Oreochromis niloticus: one gene and its partner. The protein of the gene in region 1 interacts with the protein of each later gene in a pairwise test. Links are inferred from orthologs where the notes say so. Each region holds a gene or a part of one and is shown on either strand. Other genes may lie near its edges.

Evidence for each region.
Region 2: the proteins of eef1g (region 1) and klhl18 interact in binary tests that used the Homo sapiens proteins (3 or more experiments, as listed by UniProt). The two-hybrid records come from large-scale screens. The link is inferred for Oreochromis niloticus from reciprocal best matches to the Homo sapiens genes EEF1G and KLHL18.

What each region holds. Positions count from the first base shown.
Region 1 is NC_031966.2:22,178,748-22,182,497, forward strand, and holds the start of eef1g (elongation factor 1-gamma), read right to left. Parts: upstream 2,641-3,750; 5' UTR 2,510-2,640; coding exon 2,498-2,509; intron 1,607-2,497; coding exon 1,448-1,606; intron 1,178-1,447; coding exon 1,114-1,177; intron 724-1,113; coding exon 581-723; intron 452-580; coding exon 308-451; intron 186-307; coding exon 56-185; intron 1-55. Other genes in the region: polr2g (DNA-directed RNA polymerase II subunit RPB7), read right to left, coding at 3,050-3,063, 3,254-3,287. UniProt on the Homo sapiens protein: Probably plays a role in anchoring the complex to other cellular components.
Region 2 is NC_031982.2:34,541,537-34,545,286, reverse strand, and holds the start of klhl18 (kelch-like protein 18), read right to left. Parts: upstream 2,352-3,750; 5' UTR 2,242-2,351; coding exon 2,113-2,241; intron 2,084-2,112; exon of another isoform or gene 1,810-2,083; intron 1,649-1,809; exon of another isoform or gene 1,634-1,648; coding exon of another isoform or gene 1,625-1,633; intron 1,588-1,624; exon of another isoform or gene 1,406-1,587; intron 1,400-1,405; exon of another isoform or gene 1,368-1,399; coding exon of another isoform or gene 1,260-1,367; intron 942-1,259; coding exon 811-941; intron 1-810. UniProt on the Homo sapiens protein: Substrate-specific adapter of a BCR (BTB-CUL3-RBX1) E3 ubiquitin-protein ligase complex required for mitotic progression and cytokinesis.

The sequences.
Region 1 (3,750 bases):
TAAGGGACCTGCTGTCTAACATGTATGCCTTCTGATCTAACTGCTGGTGACTCACCGTCAAACTGAGCCATCTTTTCACACAGCTTGACCTCTCCGAGGACAGCCTTGAACTGTGGCTGGTTAACACAGGTGACAAACCAGCGGGTCACATTGGGATAGGGCTGACGGAAAGAAGGCTCCAGGACCTACAGGGAACAGTGAGGTGTTAATGGCTTCTGGTGCAGCTTCCTCCCCAAATTTCATGACAGAGCTAAAGTGTTGCCGTTAGGCTCCAAGGTACCGCAAGGTGCGGCCATCTGTGACAAACCTGTTTGTAGAGCCAGAGCATGGAGCAGACCACGGTGATGTCTGCAAGGGTGACCCTCTCTCCCACAAGGAAGGTACGGGTGTTCAGGTGTTGGTTCAGCACAGCAAGGAACTTTTTCACATCCTCCTTGGCCTGCTCGGTGGCCTGGACAGTTGAAAAACAAAAAAGAAAGAAAAATTACTGTAAATCTTGTTTTCCAGTACCAAGGTGCAACAACAGGGTGCAGTCATCTAGGAAGCTATTGTTTTGACTAAGAAATACTGAGCTGTATACCTGCTTGTTGAACTGCATGATTCCCAGAGTGGGGAAGACCCATGCGCTGGCAGGAGGGATGATCTCTGAGTCAGCGAAGCTCACCCACTGCAGCACTTGGGCTGCCGCCTGAGGAGTGGCACCGCGCAGGGTATCATTGCTCACTACGCACGCAAGATTTTAAAAAGGAAAGTTGCTGTTATGGTTTCACAGTAGTTCTGATTTTTTTTTTTTTTTTACTTTTATAGTACAACCTCAGCATTTTAAGATTTTCTTAATTATCATACATTGTGCACATCAATGAAATGATACACATCAATGAAATGATACACTACAGGTAAGACTGTATAGATATAACTAGCAGTGTGGTCTGACCCGTCTATATGATGATAAACCCTTGAGTCAAGAAATGTCCTGTGAATTTAAATGTTTTGCTGATTGAGTGCTTTATCCCATCAAAAATTCTAGACCGAATTAACTGCATCCCTGAGGAATTTTCTAAAACAAGAGTGTAGAATTCAAGCCACTTAATTATTATTAAATGTGAGACTTACAGTAGTGAGCAATGGCATTACTCTCAAACAGACAGAAGCCGTCATCTCCCTGGTAGGCAGGTACCTACAAACAATGACAGAACTACTTATTTGAACACATTCAATGCGTTTTTAGTCAGAACAAAGCAGTGCATGTGCAGATCTGTTGGCTACGAAACATAACAAAAGGGTGTGTTGTCAAACTGGTTCAATCCCAGCTCACAAGTTGCATTTGACAAATAACGAGTCAACCATATTCGTGTGGGAAGGAAAAAAAGGGAGGCTCTAAAAGCAAAGCAAAATTGCATTTTTAAGGGAACTGATTCATTGAATTGATTAAGCCAGCTGTACTTACCTTGCCCAGAGGGAAGTTGTTGAGGAAGGCAGGAGTACGGTTCGTCTGCCCGAAGGTGAAGGCAGGGGCACTCGTGGCAACTTTGAGGCGAGTACCACTGTACTGGGCTGCAATCTGGGCCTTAAAGGCCCGCCAGTTCTCTGGGTACGTGTACAGAGTCTGAAAGGACGGAAGACAACACCATTGTTACAGACAACTGTTTTTAAAAGCAAACTGCATATATATGCACCACACCTTTTCAAGCTGGATGTCTAACCATTTGATCGGGCTATGAATGACTTTCAGGAAATAGCCTGGTGTTTTACTAATGTATATACTGAGTCCTGAACAGCCTTCTGTCTGTTTTCCAATTCTAATTAAGGCATGTAAACTTCAATAAAATTGGTAAGCAAGCTATCAAACCCGTTAAGAGGCAGCATTTAATTTGTTTTATGGTCACAAATAAAAGGATCACATCCAAATTAAAAGGGTCGACCAATTAAAATCTGCCTGACTAGGTTATGGAGAATGATGAAGCTGAAATGCATCAAAACTGAAATACATGCTGACTTGCACGGAAGACTGCATTTCTGTTAACCAGTTATCTAAAATAAACAATTTTCACGTGGCTTAAAACGCTCTCTTGTCAAATAAGTTGGTCCTTAACCCCGAGTCGCTTAACTTCGGAGAATAATTTTAAATATACGGCAGAATTGAGACTAAATAAACTCAACTGTAGAGCTAACCTCAGGTAAAAAAAAAAAAAAGCGTGAGATGCGAAGAGGAGGTTTTCAAAGTGATGAATAGGTAAGGTAACGTGGCACAACCCTGAGCTAGGAGAGCGGAGTCCTCCACTTACAATGCATCGCTAGCAACAGCTAACCTGAGTTAGGAGGAATACTGAATGGCATTGTTTATAAATATCCCCTATAAAAGCTAGAAAACACTCAGAAAGCAATGACTGTGTGAAAAGCTACTCAGTAAGAGGGCAGATGCATCTGATTTTTAGCGGATTGCAGCAGGAAACTTAAAAGTAAGCACTATAGCTGGCCACCTCTCCATCTTACTCACCCCTGCCGCCATCTTCAGGACGAGAGAAAGAAAGAACGACGGCGCGCTTCACTGACGTATTTACGGCCACGTGACGTGCGCGTTCTTGAAATATCCGCGTTCACAATTCTTCTCAACGACATGGATAAAGCTGTCTGGTCACATTTCAAAACATTCGAACATGACTTAAAAACTTAGCTACAAATGCCACTTGTAAAGGTACTAACACAGGGAGATAAACATACACTGACACAGGGATGTAAGAACAAATTAAATATTTTATTACAGCACACGCTAAAGCAAAAAATATGTAGGAATGATGGGCATTCAAAATAACATAAACACTACTAATATGGATACTTCTATTTGCTAGCAATTTTTAAGTAAATTTGTTAACACTCTTACAACATTTCCATAAAAAAAATGTAGGCTGTACAGCATAATAACATGATGTGCCTATAGGGCTTGGCCCCCGTCTCTATTACAGAACAGTAGAAAAATAGTAATTATAAGACAGACAAACTGAGATACAATGCAATAAAGTCCCACTGTTTCATGCTCCTCAGAAGAAAATCAGCTCACGAGACCTGAAACAAAATACAGATGGTACATTTTAAGTTTTTTTTTAAAAAAACCATACACCATTATTTTTGTTTGTTTGTTGTTGGGGTTTTTTTGTACAAATAATCATAACCAAACTAAAGCAACAACAACAACAAAAACAAAAAAAGCAGATCTATGACCCATCTGACAATTTACTGTGGTCTAATAACTTACCCAGATAATCATCCATGAGAGATCCAATGGCAAACTGAAAAACAAGGAAAACTTTGTTTTAATTTAGTTTAAAGTATAAAAGATCGATGAAGGGACAATACCATCCCACATTGATTTGTTGAGCTGAGATTTTTCACTGTTACCGTCTTGGCATCTGTAAACTGGATGTGACAAGTGATCTGACTGTTGAACCATACACTTCAATAAGTATACCCTGGAAACCTCTCTTTCTGAATCTTAGAATGATTGAAATCTGATATGATTGAAAGCTTAATGTTCTATTCAATATGACCCCAAGTCCATAAACTCAACAGAAAATTCTGTACTTAGTTCAGAATTTTTTCACAAGTCCCATTTTTCTATGAACTTCTATAGGACCAGAAGTATTTGTGCAAACACAAATGCTCACAGTTGTTGTCACCCTTGTGAACTGTGACGTGTGCCAAAAGTGATGCCTTAACTGCTGCTACAGTCAGGCAGAAAACATGAGTGCACAG
Region 2 (3,750 bases), on another chromosome or scaffold:
AAGAAGTTCATGAAGTCATTACTAGTTAACGTTAAAGGGATGGTTGGCTCAGTAGAGCTCTGACTGTTTGTCAGCCTGGCTACAGTGCTGAAGAGAAACCTGGGGTTGTTCTTATTTTCTTCAATCAGTGACGAATAGTAAGATGTTCTGGCTTTGCGGAGGGCTTTCTTATAAAGCAGCAAACTATTTCTCCAGGCTAAATGATGATCCTCTAAATTTGTGACACGCCATTTCCTCTCCAGCTTACGAGTTATCTGCTTTAGGCTACGTGTTTGAGAATTATACCACGGAGTCAGGTACTTCTGATTTGAGGCCTTAGTTTTCACAGGAGCTACAGTATCCAGAGTCGTACGTAGTGAGGAGGTAAAATTATTAACAAGATAATCGACCTCTGTTGGAGTAGCGTTCAGATAGCTGCTCTGCTCTATGTTGGTACAGGGCATTGAAGATGATAACAGTGGGTGGATTATATTCTTAAACTTAGTTACAGCACTTTCAGAAAGACATCTACTGTGATAAAGTCTACTCTCCACTGCTGTGTAATCAATTATTGTAAATGTAAATGTTATCAGGAAATGATCAGACAGCAGAGGGTTTTCAGGAAACACTGTTAAAAAGTTAAATTCAAGCTAACTGTAATCATGACCGTCACCACAGCTGATATCAGGCCGAGTCCGTGTTAAAGCAACATTTGGAAGCTTTTAGTGGAAAACAGTGAGACATTGATGTTACTGAGGTTGTCCCACCTCTGCCGAGGTCACAAGCCAGTTACAATTCTGCTCTCAGACATCTGTACAGGTGTGAGCGTACCTGGGGTCCATGCCCTGCATCAGGATCTCATCCTGTTTACACTCCACCATGTCGTTGGTGAACATGGCGTGGAAGTACGGGATGGAGGCCGCCAACACGATCCGGTGAGCGCTGAACTTGTGATCCCCAACCTGCAGACAGACACGCTGATTAACAGACTCACCTGTGACTCACCTGTTGCTATGACGACAATAAAAAACTGAAAACAGCTACATCTGAGGGATGTGTCACAGGAAGTGTTGGATTTACTGCCCTTAAACATTCACAGAACCACTCCTCGCTAGACAGCCAATAAGACTATGGCTTCACATTAAGCCCCACCCCTCACTTATCAGGTAAAACAACAAGATGATGACGGCAGACATCATTACATGAAGGTAAAGCTGCGTTCCTTCACCCTCTGAAACACAAGCGTTTCAACAGGAAGTAGATTTCAGGGTTCAGCTTAACTCTGTCAGCTGACCAGCTGGCGCCATCGATGATGTTTCCACTAGCTTCAGCTTAACGCGCAACCAATCAAAGTCCTTCATCCAACCAGCCAAGTCTGCCTGCATCATTGAATCGGTCTGACTTCCTATAAACTTCTGCAGGTCACCTGAAAGTGGACAGGTGAGGATGTGCTGCTTTATCCGGAGGACACCATTAGTTCTGGAAAACAGCTGCCTCTGACGTGGGTTCACCTGAGCTGCAGACTCAGCACCTTGCCTACTGAGCCGTTAAGAGGATCAATGCTGAGCTGCAGGCACAGGACGCAGCACAGGTGAAAATGTTTCTCAGTCGCACCTGAACACCTCTGAACAGCTCAGAAGCACACCTGGATCATGTGATGCTGACAATGAGCACCCAGCTCTGTTAACTGCTACCATAGAGCCAGGCCCTGATGGGGAGGGGTGGAGCCACCGAGAGCTTCTTCCTGCTGTAGGGGTTAGAGTTAAGGTCCCGCCCCTCCCTCACCTGGCGGACATGTTTGGAACAAAGAGCAATCACGTGTCTGCTCACCTGCACACGCCAGAACGCTGCTAAAAGGCTCCGCCCCTTCTGTGCTGCCTGAGCTCACCTGCGCACGTCACACAACCTCTACCTTTCCCCAGGTGGATCACACACCTGACCTCCAGCCCCGGTGTTAAGAGCTGACCGCTCTAACCGGAAGCCGCTTCGCCGCCTTGCCTGTGGGGCTCCCAGGCAGTTCACAGGTCAGCCCATGACGTCACTATCTGATAATCCGCGTTAGCTTGTTAGCATGCCTTAGCTCACTTTGCTAGCTTGGAGGCTAATGTCAGCCTCACACGCCGCCTCGCTCACCTTGAGCGTGACGTCACAGAGTTTCCCCTGACGTCGGATCTCCTCCATGACGACAAAACCTCGTGCCGGCAGGTCGTGCACTGAGAAGTGGACCAAATCCTCGAGCTCTTCGCACAGGACGTCGCCCATCGTCAGCGGGAGCGCGCGGACTGGACCCTGCGAGCCGCCGTACCCAGCGTCAAAGCCGCTTTCACAATAAGAGGGAGCACTTCTGCTGAGATTAAACTTCAAAATAAAAGCTTCTAAAGCCTTTCATTTGTAGTTATTGATGAGTGATTGCTCATTTATTAGGCCTTAATGTTTGTTTTTGTCAGGATTTAATGAATGTATCAGGTGTTGGCCCTGAGGAGCATCAGATGAGCTCACGTGACTGCAGTGACATCTGATATGATGTCATGAATAATGACTTTATGATTGGTGACCTGCAGCCGTGATTGGGAGCACAACAGCGTAGTTATTTAGTGAAAGCTGATTGGCTGAGAGATAAACAGCCTGAACACATCAGAGAGTAAACTAACAAACCGATCTTGAGCCCGCTGAAACCATCCGAGCCTGCAGTTCCTCCAGCATTCAGCAGAGGGAGCACTGAGTCAGTCCTCATAGACTCCTGTGTTAAAATTCAAATGTTTTGGCCTTTGTAGATAATTTCCCCTTCATAACTGCAACAATGACTGGATTCAACAGAAGGGAGAAGAACACATTTTTAACTCACCTGTTTGCATTGATAGGGGTGTGGCCTCTGACTGACAGGTAGATGGTGACAAAACTCGCTGTAGGTGCTAGATTTCACCTCAGCTAACTGGAGTCTCTGAGCTAGACCTCTGAACTGTGTTTGATGACATTATCTGACCAATAAGATTGCTGCTGTGACCATGTAAGGATTCTGATTGGATGTTACTGATAAGGTGTATGTGTATGCTAAGCTAGCTAGCTAGTAGACAACTGGCTGACAACTCCACCCTGTCCTCCAAATATGGTCACCACCGGAAACAAACATGGCAGCAAGTAATGTTACAGTCTCTTATACAGTCTGGCCTCAGGGATGTCACCTGATGATGGGTGCTTCCACGGTCGCCACTTTGGCTGCAAAAACCTGAAGGTGGCAAGGAGGGGCGGGCCTGATTGTGAACCCACATGCTCACTGACTAACGCCCTGGACTGCAACCTGTCGAGTGGTTGGAGTGAGCAGGTTCCTGGCCATTAGCCAATGAGCATGCAGCTTCACCACTTTGAAATCCAGTGTGACCTAAAACTGAGCCCACAACCTCAGCAGGATATTTTTACACAGGTCAAAGGTCAGAAAGCTGCCTTACCACAGCTATTGCCCCCTGGTGGCCTTCAGACAGAATGCAGGCTTTGGCCGTGCCCATGATTCTTCCTCCAGAGTGAATGAAGGTGAGCTCAGGTGTTTCCTGAACGTTCAGTAGACAGCTGATTACTTCCTGTACTCAAACACCTCGTCTGCTTTCTATTTTCTTTTATTATCAAACAGATTTTTGTACTCAAACTGCCGACCAATCAGAGAGCAGCTTCACACAAACAAAACAGCAGAAAAAAAAGAAGTTTTATTCACAAGTTTCGGTGTTTGACCTTCAAACCCTGAAGAGCACCTGAACGCAGCACTGCCTCTGAGGCTCA